Linked DNA regions of Drosophila melanogaster. The protein of the gene in region 1 interacts with the protein of each later gene in a pairwise test. Each region holds a gene or a part of one and is shown on either strand. Other genes may lie near its edges.

The links. Proteins that work in one complex are often made in the same cells at the same time.
Region 2: the proteins of CG34382 (region 1) and Arc1 interact in a two-hybrid assay, tested with the Drosophila melanogaster proteins (one large-scale study listed by BioGRID).

The regions. Positions count from the first base shown.
Region 1 is NT_037436.4:9,874,214-9,884,984, reverse strand, and holds CG34382 (uncharacterized protein), read right to left. Parts: upstream 6,001-10,771; 5' UTR 5,879-6,000; exon of another isoform or gene 5,652-5,878; 5' UTR 5,446-5,651; coding exon 5,409-5,445; intron 4,780-5,408; coding exon 4,412-4,779; intron 2,684-4,411; coding exon 2,369-2,683; intron 2,308-2,368; coding exon 610-2,307; 3' UTR 492-609; downstream 1-491. Other genes in the region: Taf2 (TBP-associated factor 2), read left to right, coding at 1-382.
Region 2 is NT_033778.4:14,356,182-14,363,240, reverse strand, and holds Arc1 (Activity-regulated cytoskeleton associated protein 1), read left to right. Parts: upstream 1-2,943; 5' UTR 2,944-3,040; coding exon 3,041-3,805; 3' UTR 3,806-5,314; downstream 5,315-7,059. Other genes in the region: Arc2 (Activity-regulated cytoskeleton associated protein 2), read right to left, coding at 620-1,201; CG8617 (uncharacterized protein), read left to right, coding at 6,043-6,105, 6,291-7,059.

The sequences.
Region 1 (10,771 bases):
GGCAGATGAAGAAGCACGTGATACCCATCAGGCTGCCAAGCGCCTTAAGAACGAAATGTACGCCGAGGATGATAACTCATCCACAATGCTCGACGTGGGCGACTCCACCAGATATGAGAGTAGCCACGAGGAGGGCAAATTGAAGTCCGGCGATGGTGGGCTCAAGAAGAAAAAGAAGAAGGAGAAGAAGAAGCATAAGCACAAACACAAGCATAGGCACAGCAAGGACAAGGACAAGGACAAGGACAAGGAGCGAAAGGATAAGGACAAGCGTGACCCGCATATATCACGCCTGCAGGCGCGCGAGACAGCCACTCCGGACACTCTCAGCTCGGAGGACAGTAGCAACAGCAATAGCCTGCCGCCCATGAACCTTAACTAAGTGAGGGTTCTTGCAGGTGGGGAAACTGCAATGTTTGGGGGATAGATGACAGAATAAAGGTATAATACCTTAGACATTACATTTCTTAAAGGGGTTAACATTATTTGTTAGTTTTATTCATATGTTTATTTGTCGGTTTATAATTTAACATTAAGGAAGTGTGCTGAAACATTTTTACAATACTTACAAACTAGACAAGGACATTTTAACTAAAACAGGACATGGGTTTACTGCACCTTCGCCTTCGCAGACTCCGCCTCCGGAGCTGCCGCCTTGGGCTCGCTGCCCGCCACGGCGGTATCCTGCTCATCACGCGGTCTCCTCTTCTGCAACGCATGGACATGGGCCAGGGCATGGGGATGGGATTGACCCTCGATGGGTTGCAAATACGTGATACTACCGCCGCCGATGCCTGTGGCCGTTTGCTGATGCAGCTCTCCGGCGGAAGGAGTGGACAGGATCTTGACCGACGGCTCCGAGGGAGCGGCCAGCGATCTGTGTTGCTGATGTGCAGCCAATTGCCGCGTGGCCAGGCGCATGATGTGAGCGTAGTCTACAGGCGGGTGATTGCGGTACTCCGGATGATCCTTAACGTACTGCTCATACGGAACGGGAACTGGCACGGGCACTGCCTTCACTGGATATCCCGCGTCCACAAGAGCTTGGAATTCGGCCTGGGTCAGTGGCTTGCCATTGGGAGGCGGCAGATTCAATTGCTTCACTTCATCCAGAGTCCGTAGCTTCTGAATAGGAGCTGTAGTGGGTGTGGGCCGGGATGGTGTGGCAATTCCAGTTCCCTGGGACACATAGATACTGGACTGCGATGGAGACGGTGAGGGATATTCAGCGTGCAGCGGCAGAGCAGTGGGTGTCACGGCTAGATTTCTCTGGGAATGCTTTAGCGGATCCGGCGGACTGGGATAGAAGTTGGATGGCGGCGGTGGAGATGGCGATCCCTGACGTTCATAATCGGCATAGAGCAATGCCTTAGCGGGTGAAGCCAGCTTGTAGTGCTTGGATCGGTGGTACTGCTTGGGAATGGGACTCGGCTTGGGTGCCCCGGTGGGCGTAGCCTCCTGGTAGTAATACTGCGAGGGTTGCGGCTGATTGGCCTGCTGTGTGGGATAGACGACGGGTCCCAGTCGCTTGGGTTCCGGCGTGGGATAAATTGGCGTCGGTTGCTGATAGTTGCTGAACTTGAAGAGCGATGGAACGAACGGTTGGTTATTGGCATCCAGCAGGGAGTTGGGCGTACTGGCCAGGTATGCCTTGGGTTGCCTCAGCGCGGGATGCGAGGTGGGTGGTGGTGGGTGCTGCGGAGCGGGCTGCCTTGTCGCCACCTGCTCATTGCTGCTGTCAACGTAGGCCAACGATTGTCCTGGCTTATTGGCTGCCAGCAATTTCTCAATCTCACTTTCCAGAGAAGATTTCGCCAGTGGATGGTTGGGCAGGGTCTTGTAGCTTATCTGTGGCTGGTAGTAGGCAATCTGGGGTGGCAGTCCATGGATGAGTTGCTGCCCGGGATGCGGTATCGGTTTGTGGAGCTGCACCCGCTGCGGTTGTTGCTGTTGTTGCTCATCATCCTCTTGGATTTGCTGCGCCTGTGGCAAGGGCAGATATTTGGGACCACCGCGGGGATGCGAATAAGTTGGTGTCACCAGCTCCTGCTCGGCCACAAAACGCTCGCGATAGCCGCCTAATCCTAGCGAGGGATCCGCCTGCTGCAACACTTTGTGAGTGGCAGCCGTGCTGTGGATGGGCAGTTGCTTGTGGTGCTGTTGCTGCTGCTGCTGTTGGTGTTGCTGCTGCTGCTGCTGCTGCTGTTGATGCTGCTGCTGCTGACGAAGTTGCTCATGATAGGCTCTAGCCTGCAGCTCCTCCTCCAGGATCTTAAGAAACTGCTCTTCGGGAATCACTTGGTAGGGCTTTTGGAAAGTAGGATTGATTAGTATAAGAGCTTTATAGCGTCGCATTTAGATGACCCACCTGCTGATGTTGCTGCTGCTGCTGCTGGGGATTCACCGATCGATGCTGTGGAGCAGGCAGCGGCAATGGCAGTTGATAGGGACCCTGGTACTGACGTGGACGTGGTTGCTGGAGCTGGAGCTGTTGCTGCGGCTGCGGCTGAATGGACACCGCGTATCGCTGTTCCGCCTCCTGTTCCTGCTCCTGCTCCTCCTCGGCCACCGGAGTGGATGACTTCTTGGGCGCACTGGCCGCACCCTTGCCTTGACCTGCGGCCAGCAGGGCCTTGGGCTGATGATGGCGCATTATATCTTGCAGATACACGTAGTGCTGCACCTTTCGAGATACGGATACAGATAGATGGCAAGGGAAAAAGTGAGTGGGGGCGCATAATTATGGTGGGTGTGTGAACTGCCGGCGGCCAATGTCAGCAGCCGTTTAAAGTGGAGCCGCATGACCAACACCATCACCATCATGACTTAAACATAAAAAACCGAGCGAAAAAACCGCAGCGGCAACAACTGGTTGCAGGTGCTTCAGCAGAGCAGCAAACGCTGTGAGAATGGCGTGGCATCTAAAAAAATGAGTTTATATAACACTTGTGGCAAACTTTGGCAACGCCAACGCCAAACACAACAACCACAAAGAAGCGGACTCTTCGATGTTGCAACAGCAACAACAAACACAACACTGTGCAACAAGGTTGTGTGTGGGGGTTTCCCATAAAAAACTTATACAAATATGCCATAAATATTTAGATTTATAATAAAAAGTTGAAAATAAAACGAATCAATTCCTTTGCTCTTCTTTAAATTAAAAACGAATTATTGATTGAATTTAAGCTATCTTATTCGTCATGTATGTAAATTATACACTCTTGAATTTGGTCCTTTTTTTTTAGCAGTTTTAAGCAGCTTACTATAAAATTCCATAAAAATACAGAAAGCTCCTAAATTCTTCTGGAAACCTGTTGCACAGTGTGCCATCGACTACTATACACATTATTATGGCAAATAAAGCCGCCGGCGAGTCAAGGCGCCATGAAGCGACACAAAGCTGACAGACCAAAAGTGGGGTGATTATAACATTATGTCAACTTTCTTCCCACGACAAGCGCCATTGTTTTTCCACGGTCTCCGATGTCTTGCACTATTACAAGACCCACTGAAGACAAGGCGAGGCGGGGCGGGGGGGGGGGGGGAATTGGAGAAGCCATTGCCAAGCGAATCCGTTGGATGGGTGGAAACTCAAGTTGGATGGCAGGAGGTGGAAATTATTGTGTTGACGCGTAATAAGACAAATAATAATTTTGCAATTATGCATTTGTTGCTGTCGCCGTCGCCGTCATGTCGTGACTTAGTTTTGCCAACTGCATTTATAATAAAAAAATATCATTATTATTATGATTATTACAACTTTTGCCGGCACTTTTAATTTCTATACGTTTTGCAACCAAAACATTGTCTTTGGCTAATTGCAATCGCCTTTGTCTACCATCAATTGCAAATTCGTTCCGAATATAAGCCGAGATATTGGTCAAGGTTTCTTGGCCTCGGCGAAAGGGAAAAATTTGACAAAATCCGTCTGGGATTGGGCCATTTGGCTTTCTGCCTTTTATGTTGGTCGTTTTGGGCGCCGAGATGTTTACATCCGGCATTTTGCAAAGAATCGTGTGCCTGCCGCCGATGCTAAGTCACGATCGCCCAGGTCGTCCGATGTCCAATGTCCGACCTCTGATGGCCGGGGGGCCAAGTCAAAACGCCAGACAAGAGCCGCGATGTCGATGGAACGCCCCCCGATTGGCACAAAACAAACAATTCCTCATGGCAATGGTAATCCGTCAGTTGGCCAGTCGATCAGTAGATCACCCACTCCCTCTATTGAACACCCAGGGATTACGGCTGGCAGTTTTATGGGTCAACTTGGAAAACAAGTCCTGCAGTTGCTGCAGATAGCTAATACATAAGTAGTATAACCTATAACTTATCCTAGACAATCAAAAACTATGCAATGCAGAAAGGAGAAAACCTTGGATGCATAAAGTGGACAAATTCCCAAACTCACCTCCTGACTCTGCTCGAGAAGTTGGGCGGCATGGGGTCGAGAATTGGCCGCCGCAAAGTTCCTCAACTGCGGCTCCTGGTGCGATTCGTGCTGCTGATGCTGGTGCGGTGCAATGGGGCGAATGATGAACTGATTCGGCTTGGAGCCGTAGATGGTTTCCTGACCATCCTCGGGATCATCGTTGGCGCTTGACGATGCCGCCGAGCTGCGGTGGTTGGGGTACAGAGACGTCTCCTTGGAGCTCACTTGTCGCTTGTCTTTGGTCGCCTCCGATTCCAGTGGCGTGGAGGCGGAGCTCTTGCTGTCTTCCGCTGGCTTGGCTTGGCTGCTCTTGGCCTCCGCATCCACGGCCTGGGCGCAGACGAGGCCTGTGTGGGAGGACAGGTGTAGGTGTCACTTTAGAGTTTGTATATGTGAGAAACAGCACTTATTTTGATGCACCAAAAGGTTACAGTTGTTAAAATTAAATTATTTTATGCCACTGAATGGAAGTACTGTTAAAAAAAGTTATTTATGTCCCTTAAATGTTTTATGGTGCAGCATTTAATATAATTATTTTTTAATTCTATAATTATTGAACGTTTTGTATTTAATTTGTTTTATTTCTTAGCTTGTAATAGTTTTGGGTTTGGTTTTCAAGTTACTAACTGCTTAACTCAATATATCCTTGAAATAATATCACAAATACTAAATTAAAGTAATTTATTAGGATTAAAGAATTTGAATGCTAATTCTTGATGTTATTTGGATCTCTGAAATAGCAAACTAGTATAAATATTCCAAATTTTAATTTATTTTATAATTTTAAGAAGTGTCCTGTTCATGTTTTCACTCTGTGTTTTAATCCTAATTAGTTGAGAAAGAATGTCGTAGTTTCACTGATATTAGGGGAAAAATAAATACAAAATATTTTCTAACATAAAAAAAAATGTAAAGCAATTACTCTGGTAATTTCTTAGGGAACGCAAACCCTTAAACACTTTCGGTGTCTACTCACCCAGCAAGAGTGTCAGGAGCAAGATTTGGATTCTCATTGTGTGGCGTCACTGAACCAGCAGACTAGTAATTGAATATCTGAATCTGTGCCTGGCCGTTCGCTACTTTCACAGTCACTTGGCTTATATATATTTTATTATTTCCCACTTGGTTTCGTTGTCGTTGTCGTTTTCCTTGTCAGACGTTTGGGACTACGATGGTCGCATCTGCTGCATCTGCATCGAGCATTGCCGGCTGCAACAAACTGAACCAAAAGAAGCACACAACACGATGCGATTATTACTGGCAGTTATGCAACTGAAGATTCGACACAATCTGAAACCGAATTCGCAAGCTACGAACTGTGAATTGCGAAACCGAAACTGAATCAAAGTCTTAGTGGCAATTCGTATCCCGTAATCCTTGGATTGTTTTTGGCGCGAAATTCGTAACGCTACAAATTGGATATGAAAGATGAACTGATTGCTTTACCGTCGTCTGCTTTCCTGTCTTTGGTTTTTAATTTATTTTTTTACTGGTTTTTTTTTAGTTATTTAGCCAGGAGCAAAAGCTCCGTTTCGGGGATCGGATTTAGTAGATCGCGCGCGCTGCTGCACGTTCAGCCAACGAATCTTTGGCGTTGTGCGGCCAACACTTGTATTTATAAATCCGGTGGCCAAAACAGACGAGTCTCGGCCGACAGCCGAGCTTCGATCCCCGAGTTCCGAGCTCCAGCTAAAGCCACAATGGCTATATCCAAAGACGACCTTTGCGGCTCGTCGTGCCAGCCAGGCACCAACACAAAGAGAAAGGTCTGTCTGCGATCGCCTCTTTGGCTCGATTCTGCAAATGTGCCGCCTCTACAGAGGGAAAAAGGTATTCATTAAGTGCTAATAACAAGAGGTCCTAACATCACTTTAATATCCCTCTTTCGATATAACATTTAGATATGACATTTATTTTTAATAACTTCAAGATTTTATTTCATCTAATACTTTATAGTTGGACATCATTAAGAAATACGATTGTAAAGCTTATCGGTTATGAAAATTCGGTGAAAATAATTTAAAATTTATAACCAAACGTTTCTACCTTTGCTAACGTTTTAAAGAATACTTTAATAAATATATGAATGTATAGAGTGCAATAAGTTTCTGCTCACCATCTGATTTTTAAAAGCCTACTATTTCTGGGTTAAGCAGTAAAAAACTTTGAAAATAAGCCAAGACTGTCGTTTAAATGCAGTGCTTGAAATGTCAAATATGTAAATTAATATCTGCCGCGCTCTTTCCTTTGTCAAGGTTATTTCGAAATAATCCAAATAATAGCTAACATTTAATTTGGACACCAGAATTTCGTTGAAAACTCCCCCAAAAACGGCACTGTTTTTTTCTCGGTGAACCTTCGCTTCCAGGGGGCCAATTGAACGTTGACGGCCCTGTCGGTGGCTAACCGCTAGTTAAGTTAAGGCTAATGGTACGGCCCGGGCATTTGCCTGCCGCCTGGAAGCGCCCCGAAAATGCTAACGTGACACTAAATTGGCCGTCCGCCCTCGCCGAATTGGAGACGGGGAAAACACTGACTTGATTCAGGGAGAGGGACATTACTATACATTACTATACCATACTATACTATATCTGACTGCCGGCCATGGCTATTTGGGCTGGTCGAGGCTAAAGGGCACTTTTGTTTTGGTTTTGTCTCGCGTCTTTAAACCTTTCTGTCTGCGTCTGTGTATGTGTTTGTGCAAATTGGGCGCATTACTTTTAACAAGCGTTTTCGATTCGGATGCGAGACTCCTCCATTTGCGTTTCCATTTTCATTTGCATTAGCAATGCATATTTAATATGCTCAAGCCCAGTACGAGTGCTCACACCAGCCGGCGGAAAACAAAACTCCACCCCTTGCAGCAAGTTCGCTGCCTAAGTCTTTCGTTTGACATTTGCAATTGGCAGGGCACAGTGGGTAGAAAATGTGTTCTTGATAAAAATGTATGTACGAATTTTTAATGTAATGTAAAATATGTTAAGAAACAAATAATCGAGATAATTTTTATATATTAATTTTTATACAAATTTTCAAGAATTGCTGTTTTATTTGAACACAATATAGAATAAACTTTTTGTATCCATGACCACTGGATTTCGGAGATACTTTGTAATTGTGTAAATATACTATGATTTATTGTTAGTTAATTTAAATTTAAAAGCTACTTGTGTAGATGTGTCCACTTTGTCCACTGGATCATAACTTATGCTTCATTATGTTTTTGGTTTACTTTAGTAGTGATGCAAATTTCAAGACAAACCCGCTTAGGCATCATTTTAATAATCAGAGATCTATAAAAAATTAACCGCAAATAGTGTTAGATTTATCAATGAAGTGTCAAAACTTCTCTCATTTCTAACCGTACAGAAAATGTCGAAATACCATTCAGTTTTGGCCAACTGTGCCCTTCTGTTTTTTCGACGGATTGGGAATTAACATTTCAGCGCATGCGTGGGCAGCTACAGTTAAGAGTTAGGAGTTAGGAGTTGGAGTTAGCTGCTGCTGGCAGCATCACTTATTGCGAACTCCTGACTGCGGCTGACGGACGGAGTCAAGTCGGTGGCCAATTTGGGCAATTGCGATTGCCGTGCTGGTTAATTGAGCCCGCTTACCTAATGCTATAATGCTAATGCCGGGCTATGTCCGACGATCGGGCTACGATTTTGGGCCTTTGCGTTGGTGGTGTCAAAGTTAACACGGTAGCTGTGAAATTTGGCGCTGGGGAAATCCGTGGAAATTGCCAACTGATGCAAGCCTGCCATTTCCTCATCCTTAGCAAATTGATTAGGACAGTTTGGCGGCAAAAGCTAACCAAATAAATAAGTTTATAATTAAGTGGAAGATTTGCGGGCAGCAGCAGCATTTGTTATTGTTGTTTTTTCTCTCTACTATATTTTGCGCAACTCTTGATCGAAGCCGCTCGCAGTTACTTATTATAAATTCTCCTACAGCTATCTGTTGTTGCTACTTTGTTCACATTGTCATTTGGCTGTCTGCGTGTTGCTTGTGAAATTGTTGCATTGCATGCAGCGGCAGAAGTAGCAGCAACATCACCAGACGACGATGCGATCTGCAGTGGCAACATCTTCTTTTCTTCAACTACTATTTATTATTGTATTAGTTTCTACGCTGCGGCTGTTTTTTCAGTTATATATATATTTTTTTCTATTTTTTTTTTTTTCATTTAATTTCAAGTGCTTTTTGCTGTATTTTTAGTAGATTTTTTTCCGGCTGCAGCAAGCAGAAATGCAACAGTTTCTGGTCGACTCCACTTAAATCAATGATGATCATGACGGCGTTGACGATGATGATGATGATGATGAGGCTGGCAGTTCACATTTTGGCATTTGCATTCAGCAATTCACATTCGCCGAGTATCCGAGTTTTTTTTGAGCCATACGACAGTTTTATGCTCCAAATTTTATGTGTATCAATTTATCAGACGAAGACGGAGTCAACCTTAACATTTAGTCTATGGTTTTTGATATACTCGGACTGAAAACATTTACCAAGATCTTAATTGGCAACTTTTGACGGTTTTTTTTTTTTTGTATTTTTGCTAGCGGTTTTCCACCACCGACGGTTGTTAATGAAAAGTGGTTTTACAATGAAATTGCACAATCGTGGCCAGCAATGACCTGCGAAGATAGCAAACCAAGTCGAAAGGAAAATGTATCGCCGCGTCTTGTGGCCACAATGGAAACCCAGCTCCATATGACTGGGTCTATGTTGATGGCAGTGTACTGCGAATAAATAATGTGTAATTTACCAGCGCCAAGTGACAATTAAAATGCCATTCGGCGAACTACTGTTATGCAGTAGTAACTCACTGACAAATGCCGCAAATGCTCCTACGGATGGTTAACATTTTCGGTCACTCGGAACCGAGATGGCATTACCAATATGACGATGTACAAGTTAATTGGAGTTGGTCAATAGTACTATACATAAGTCGACGTATTCTTGGCATCTTAAGACTGTTGCAGAAAAAACTCCTAAGAGTTTGTAAACTACAGTTTATGATTCCTGACGTAAAGGAAGTAAAAAGACGATGGATTTTATGACGTTTAAGTGCAATAAAATCAAATGTGTTATTATAACGAGGAACATTTAAAAATTGAGTGCATTTCGATGAGATTAAGTGCAGAAAAATAACTCATAGTCAAATTTAAGTAAATTATTTTACAAGATTTTAGCATACGTAATGCTTAATGAGAAGCTATTATTCTTCAAAAAGCTCTATTTAAGAGTATATTAACTTATTTGAAAAGTACATATGTAGACCTATAAAGTATATAAGCAGATATATTCTTGATTAAAACTTTCATGCCGTACGTACTTACTTGGTTTTCAGTAGTTATAACTCAATAATCTGATCTAGGATTATACCCGACTTCGATGACAGAAATCAAATCTCTAGCTAAGATAGCCTATCGCCATCTGACTAGGCCACAACCGAGATTTCCATCTGCAATGCTCAATTATGTTTACAAACCTGCAAACCTGCAATAGCGACCATAAACGTCACTGGCGGACAATTTATGAATCGTAAAACCCGGCCAGGCTAAAAGCGAAAAAGTGCATTCTAATTCATTTGAATACAATTAAAATCGCAGAACGAACGGTATTGCAAACGCTTGGGAAATTACTCAAGTGAAGGCCCCACATTTCGTGATCCCCAACTGGCGACAATTCGTGTCCGTCTTTGGGACAGAAAGTCCGGGATTGGCCGCCCAACTCCATTGAAGCGTGGCACCAGCACAGAAAGAAATTTAGCTTAAGCTAACTTAGCTAAATAAATATTACACAAATATTTGAAAGTAACATACTAAAATATAGGCGAATTTTAAAGTAATTTTTAAGAAAGTGCAGTAAGTGCAGTGATCTAATGACAAAATCAAATCGATCATCACCGATTTATTTGCATTTCTTGCCATGCACTGGCACGACCATCGAAATGGCTTGCTAATGAGCTGTGCTCCAGCCAAAAAGGAGCAGCCATCCGTGAATTACATGCTATGAGGATCGGATGGGGGAAACGGAATCTTTGCTTTTTGGCTGACTTTTGACTCGCATTGTATTATATGATTTGCGTTGCCTGGTTTCCTGGTTTTTAATTTCGGTTTTGCGGCCACAAGTGCTTGGCATAATCGCCGCAAATACCTGGCCTGCGTTTAATGACGGGCCTAAGCACCCATGTAGATTTTCACCGTCATTTGGACCAAAAATATATGGACTGTGGATCGCCCCAAGTCCATGCATCAGCGATAATGCTCGCTGTGATGGCGATGCAATAACTTAATGCCTTCCATTCACGCCAAGTCGGCTCCAGATTCG
Region 2 (7,059 bases), on another chromosome or scaffold:
AAGAGCATGAAATGCGATCTAAGAAGCATCTTCGGCTGGCGGAAAAGTGCCGCCTGGTGTTTGCGTATGTCGCCTGCGCCGGCGATACTTTTCCCCATTTCGCGGTCGGCAAAACGCACAATCCCACGTTATTTGCACGATATTACTGGAAACTCAACGCACCTCAGTCAGGCTAGGGATGTAAGAATACATCGATGTATCGAGAATCGATGTACCGTGCCCATAATTTTCGATGTTTTTTGTTGATATCGATGCTTTGCTGAACCAGCTGTTTAATTATACACCGTTCACACAACCGCGTTTTGGTTCCATGTGAATTATTTAAATCGTTCTAGATTTAAATAAAAGTTTTTGTGTGTGTTCTTTTTTATTTCTTTTACTCCTATTTTCAGTCAGTTTCTTCTTATTATCATATATCATCGTATATTTATTTATTTGTATATGCTGATACTTATCATTGAATGAATCATATCTTAAAGCTTATAAATGAAAAAATAAATGGTTTATACATGTAGTTATTAAGTTATTTAAAATCTGCCCAATAAAGGCGCTTAAGAGATTTATTTAGTGCAATCTGTGTTTATTGGCCTAGAATTTTATACCACTAACTTAACTAACTTCAGTGCCTTGTGCGCTCCACAGTTCGCCCCCGATCGAGTAGCTCCCGGAAGGTTTTGACCTCGTGTCGGGGTATGCTCTCCCGGTACTTGGGCTGCATCAGCCCGTAGATGAAGTCCAGCTCCGTCTCCTCGTCGTGTCGTCCCTCCGGCAACTTGGCTAGGAGCGCTCGCTGCTTGCAGATGAATGAGTCGATCACTTCGTCGTAGGACTGCTTCGTCTCGAAGATCTCCATGTATATCTGGTAGGAAGGTTTAGTGGGCGAGAAGTGATCGCGCAGCAGCTGCAGGGCATCCGACCAGGTCTTGGCATCCCGGCGCACACCCTTCCACCACACCACGGCAATGCTCTTGAAGAGCAGCGGCAAACCCTTTAGCGCATCCTTGTCGCTGATGCCCTCCACCTCTTTATACGTCTCCACGGCATTGATGAACTCGTCCACGGCATCGTGATCCCGCTGGCCACTGAATCTCACCGTGCAGTTGCTAAAGCTACCCTTGGATGGCGGTTCCTCTTTGATTGGCCCCAGCGATTTAATGGTTTCTATGAATATGCGAAACTGTTCGTCGGACATCTGCGTCATTTTGTTGCCGGTTTCTTGGGTTTGTTTGGGTTTAAAAAATGAGTAAACAAGCGCCCGAAATAGACCAGCTCAATTCCGATTTCAAGCCCCAATCGTTAGACGGTTGGGGGGCAACTGGCAATTTCGCTTGTTGTGAAATGAAAAGCCACATTGCTCTCCTCCCTCTCTCTTTCTCCGTAAGTAAAAGCTTTTTCGAGTTTCGAAAAATATCCAACACTCTCTCTCTCTTCAACATTTTTGAATAATTGGAGAGCACAGTTTGTGGCGGTTCCTCCGCAAGGAGGCCACCACGTGGAAGGAAGCCATCGCTCTCATCCGCGAACACTTCTCGCCCACCAAGCCCGCCTACCAGATCTACATGGACTTCTTCCAAAACAAGCAGGACGACCATGACCCCATTGACACCTTCGTCATCCAGAAGCGAGCGCTGCTGGCCCAGCTGCCCAGCGGTCGCCACGACGAGGAAACGGAACTGGATCTTCTGTTCGGTCTGCTGAACATCAAGTACCGCAAGCACATCTCCCGCCACAGTGTCCATACCTTCAAGGATCTCCTGGAACAGGGCCGCATCATCGAGCACAACAACCAGGAGGACGAGGAACAGCTTGCCACAGCAAAGAACACCCGTGGCTCCAAGCGCACCACCCGCTGCACCTACTGCAGTTTCCGGGGGCACACCTTCGACAACTGCCGTAAGCGCCAGAAGGATCGGCAGGAGGAGCAGCACGAGGAGTAGGCGACAAAAAGAACATCAAATACCAACAGGCAGCAGCCAACGTCATTGATGACCTCATCGCTGCTGCCGCCCACCCAAACAGAACTTTTCGTAGCCTCGCCAGCCGATCGACGTCAGAGAGAGCCCAACAACCGGAGAGCTGGAGATGGGGAGCAGCCACATCAACAGCAGCAACAGCAGCCACATCTCTTCATACTCTTCATACTCACTGGCAATCGGCGTGCCGGTAAGCCTCGACTAGCTTCTGAAATCCACAAATCCACGCTGTTTGTATTGCTATTCGCAATGCCTCGAAAACGGCTCTATTTTCATATAATTTCACGCCGACTTGCGGCTACTTTGGCACAGAACGCCAGCTTTTGGAAAGCAATAATTTTTATTGCAACATTGAACCTTTATTTGCAACTAGAAACTAGATTTCGAGAATCATCGGGCGGGGCGGCTGAGGATCTGGCATTTCGTCCGTAAGATCGGTTATTCGCAATGGAGGAATATGATATTCGAACCAAATGGCGGGTGAAGTGCCTCGGCATGGAGCTCCATTTTCTTCGAATCTTATGTTTTGACATTGCGAGTCTGAAATGGATGTTGCCTGATCTCCAGCCGCCCCGCACAACCGTTGATTCTCACAACCGCCGGCTCCACTTTGTGCCGGTCAGCGGAGAAAAAGCGATTATTTGGCTATCAAAAGATATGATCACTGTGTTGAGAGACATGGCAATCATCGCTATTGTAACCATATATTTGCTGATTTTTCGTCTGATCCTGGTCCTTTGTGAAGCTAGCAAAAAACCCCCCGCCCGGTGAATGCCCACTTAGATCCTTTTGCAGGAGGATTTCGACGGCCCTGAAGGTGGGCGCCACCCGTTTCGTGATGATTCACTCTGAGCAATAATACCAAAAACATAGACCTTCCCTCTCTTATTGGCTCTCCCCAATGCCTCAAGCTTTTTCGAAGTTCGATTTCACAACAGGCGGATATAAAAGGGCTGCAATGTGGGAGAGCTGTTCAGTTCAAATCACCGGCCGCATTCGCTACACTGGCTTTGTCCGCCGACTGAACCAAGATTAATTTGATCACCTAACCTCACACAGCAGCGAAAATGGCCCAGCTTACACAGATGACCAACGAGCAGCTCCGCGAGCTGATCGAAGCTGTAAGAGCGGCCGCCGTGGGCGCCGCCGGAAGTGCAGCAGCAGCCGGAGGAGCAGACGCCAGCAGAGGCAAAGGCAACTTCTCCGCTTGCACACACAGCTTCGGCGGAACCCGCGACCACGACGTGGTCGAGGAGTTCATCGGCAACATCGAGACATACAAGGATGTAGAAGGTATCAGCGACGAGAACGCCCTGAAGGGCATCTCGCTGCTGTTCTACGGTATGGCCAGCACCTGGTGGCAAGGCGTCCGCAAGGAGGCCACCACGTGGAAGGAAGCCATCGCTCTCATCCGCGAACACTTCTCGCCCACCAAGCCCGCCTACCAGATCTACATGGAATTCTTCCAAAACAAGCAGGACGACCATGACCCCATTGACACCTTCGTCATCCAGAAGCGAGCGCTGCTGGCCCAGCTGCCCAGCGGTCGCCACGACGAGGAAACGGAACTGGATCTTCTGTTCGGTCTGCTGAACATCAAGTACCGCAAGCACATCTCCCGCCACAGTGTCCATACCTTCAAGGATCTCCTGGAACAGGGCCGCATCATCGAGCACAACAACCAGGAGGACGAGGAACAGCTTGCCACAGCAAAGAACACCCGTGGCTCCAAGCGCACCACCCGCTGCACCTACTGCAGTTTCCGGGGGCACACCTTCGACAACTGCCGTAAGCGCCAGAAGGATCGGCAGGAGGAGCAGCACGAGGAGTAGGCGACAAAAAGAACATCAAATACCAACAGGCAGCAGCCAACGTCATTGATGACCTCATCGCTGCTGCCGCCCACCCAAACAGAACTTTTCGTAGCCTCGCCAGCCGATCGACGTCAGAGAGAGCCCAACAACCGGAGAGCTGGAGATGGGGAGCAGCCACATCAACAGCAGCAACAGCAGCCACATCTCTTCATACTCTTCATACTCACTGGCAATCGGCGTGCCGGTAAGCCTCGACTAGCTTCTGAAATCCACAAATCCACGCTGTTTGTATTGCTATTCGCAATGCCTCGAAAACGGCTCTATTTTCATATAATTTCACGCCGACTTGCGGCTACTTTGGCACAGAACGCCAGCTTTTGGAAAGCAATAATTTTTATTGCAACATTGAACCTTTATTTGCAACTAGAAACTAGATTTCGAGAATCATCGGGCGGGGCGGCTGAGGATCTGGCATTTCGTCCGTAAGATCGGTTATTCGCAATGGAGGAATATGATATTCGAACCAAATGGCGGGTGAAGTGCCTCGGCATGGAGCTCCATTTTCTTCGAATCTTATGTTTTGACATTGCGAGTCTGAAATGGATGTTGCCTGATCTCCAGCCGCCCCGCACAACCGTTGATTCTCACAACCGCCGGCTCCACTTTGTGCCGGTCAGCGGAGAAAAAGCGATTATTTGGCTATCAAAAGATATGATCACTGTGTTGAGAGACATGGCAATCATCGCTATTGTAACCATATATTTGCTGATTTTTCGTCTGATCCTGGTCCTTTGTGAAGCTAGCAAAAAACCCCCCGCCCGGTGAATGCCCACTTAGATCCTTTTGCAGGAGGATTTCGACGGCCCTGAAGGTGGGCGCCACCCGTTTCCGGTAGCGGCTTCGGCTGCTTCCGGTTTCCGGTGTCGCAACCCTTCGCGATGTCCCCCGTGCGAGTGGAGCTACAGTGGGCGTGAGCCGGGCAAAACCTAAATTTCTTCGGAGATTTAAAAAACCAACAAATTTTTTGACTTTTGTCAAAACAATTCGAACCCACATAGCACTACGATGGCTAACGATTCGCCATCCGTGCGGTTGGCACGCCAAAACTGTCTCTTCGAGATCACGGGCCTAGGGCTGTTTAACATTCGACCCAAGCGATTTCGCGACAGGCTTCGGCACGCCAGTATATAACCCAAAACACACAAACGTCAGGGGCTGGAACGCGTCACTGCCGTGCTCCTCCAGCCGGCACAGTCATTCCCCGCCCCCACACCAAGCAAAACCGGCCGCTTGTGCAGATGACATAGGCGCGACCAGCCAACTGACCCGGCTGACCAGACTTGCACCGTGCGCCATCAACTGGAATCTTGGCCACAAGCACAGCAATAGTTTGGCCCGCTATTCCCACACAGAAACCCAGAGTGGGGGCCTATGGAAGACCACAAGTGGTTGCGTGGAACTGCTAAAAATATAAAACTGTAAAACTAAAGACTGAAACTAGAAAACAACCATTAAACTCAGAAACGGAAAACTGCGTAATTGTTTTTATTTTATGGGGTGGATGGGACAACATTTTTACAGGGAATCATTTTTTTAAACAAAAGTTGATATAATATAAGAAAAAATGCAATTAGCCAAGCTCTACAAAGCTCACGTATTTAATAAATGCTCCACCGAATGAAATGAATATTACAATATGCCATATAAAAATACAACATTAAATGATATTAAAACTGGTTTCTTTATTTCAATATAATTAAATGTCTCAGCCCTTCTAGACGTTATGTATAATAATTTCAAGTGGCTACAATCAGACTTAAAATCTAACTGGATTTACTTTCTACTAATAATATCCCAATCAGAAGTCAGATGTTGTGTGATTACATCTTGTTACATTTTTGATGATATTTAAATAAATTATGCTACATCATTAGTCATTGTGTCAAAGTAATTTTAATTTTATACAGTTGCAGTTTCGAGGTCGGACGGAACGGTCTGAAATTAACTAACAATATCTCGTGTATTTTGTGTGTGCTTTCGAAAAAAGTTTGTTTGAAAAATGTGTTAAGAAAGTGGCGCCGCCGAAATACCGATATCGCCAAGTATCCAATTATCGACGTGCCGTGGGTCCCGATTGTCTAACATAAATAAAGCCTGCTGATATCGAAGTACAACAGCCCGATAGGTGGAAGCAAATATCGATGACAGTCTTTATTTATATATTTCCTAATCAATATACCTGATATCAACAACTGATGCACAAAACACACCGTCTCACCACCGACAGCCAGTACATGGAGGTCGAAGGCTTGCTGCAGGTAAGTGGATGCACTGCGTCCGCAGATAAATGAATAGGTTTAATCCAGTGGCTGCTGCAACGCCCTTTCTTTTCGCCCCGTCGCACCACACACGACACCACTTTGCTCTTCGCTCTCCACTCGCCGCTCGCCACACTCCACCCACTCGAAAAACCTGGCCAAAAACCACGCACACACATGCACAGGCCATGGACATGCCCACCAGCCACGACCCGGAGGCGGAACTGGAACCGGAGTCCACGTCGCTGTGCCGCCTGAGCCGCTACAACGTGACCAACCTGTACGACGGGCCGGCGGGCGGGGGTTCCTCATTGAGCTCGGGCCGCCAGCGTTGCTACACAATGCCGCATGTGCCACCGCCAGCGCCGCCCTCCACGCCCACTCTGCTGACCAGCGGGTGCGGCGGCAGCAGCAACTCCGTATCCGTCTCCATCTCGCCCACCTGCTCCGCTGGAAGCCATCCCTTGGATAGCCAAAGTTTGAGCCAGAGCCCCTTGAACCACTTCATCTACGTAAAGAATGGCAAGAACCTGCGTCGCGAATCGCGCTGCGTCGACTCGGAGCTGTCAAAGTTATTCAACGTGGTGTCCATCACAAACCGGCTGACGGCTATTAAGAACCGCAGCAATTCCATTTCGAATTCCAGTGGAATACTCAATGCCTCGCGCACCATATCGAAGTTAAACGGGGCGACGGCCACCAAGATCTTTAAGATTCATCGGGATCCGAAGGAATTTCTGCGCGAAACGGACGAGGATTCCGTGTCTGCGCCGGAGTACGACGAGGAGGAGGAGGACACGCGCTTCCGTTTCTTTCGGCGTGCGCGCTTCTCGAGGAGGTACAGTACCGCACGATCCGGCCGGAAATTTGCGCGAAAGTTCGCCCGATTTGAGCATCATGAGCGCATGGAAACCATCGTGGATAGTTTCGATGCAGCAATGAGCTTCAATGATG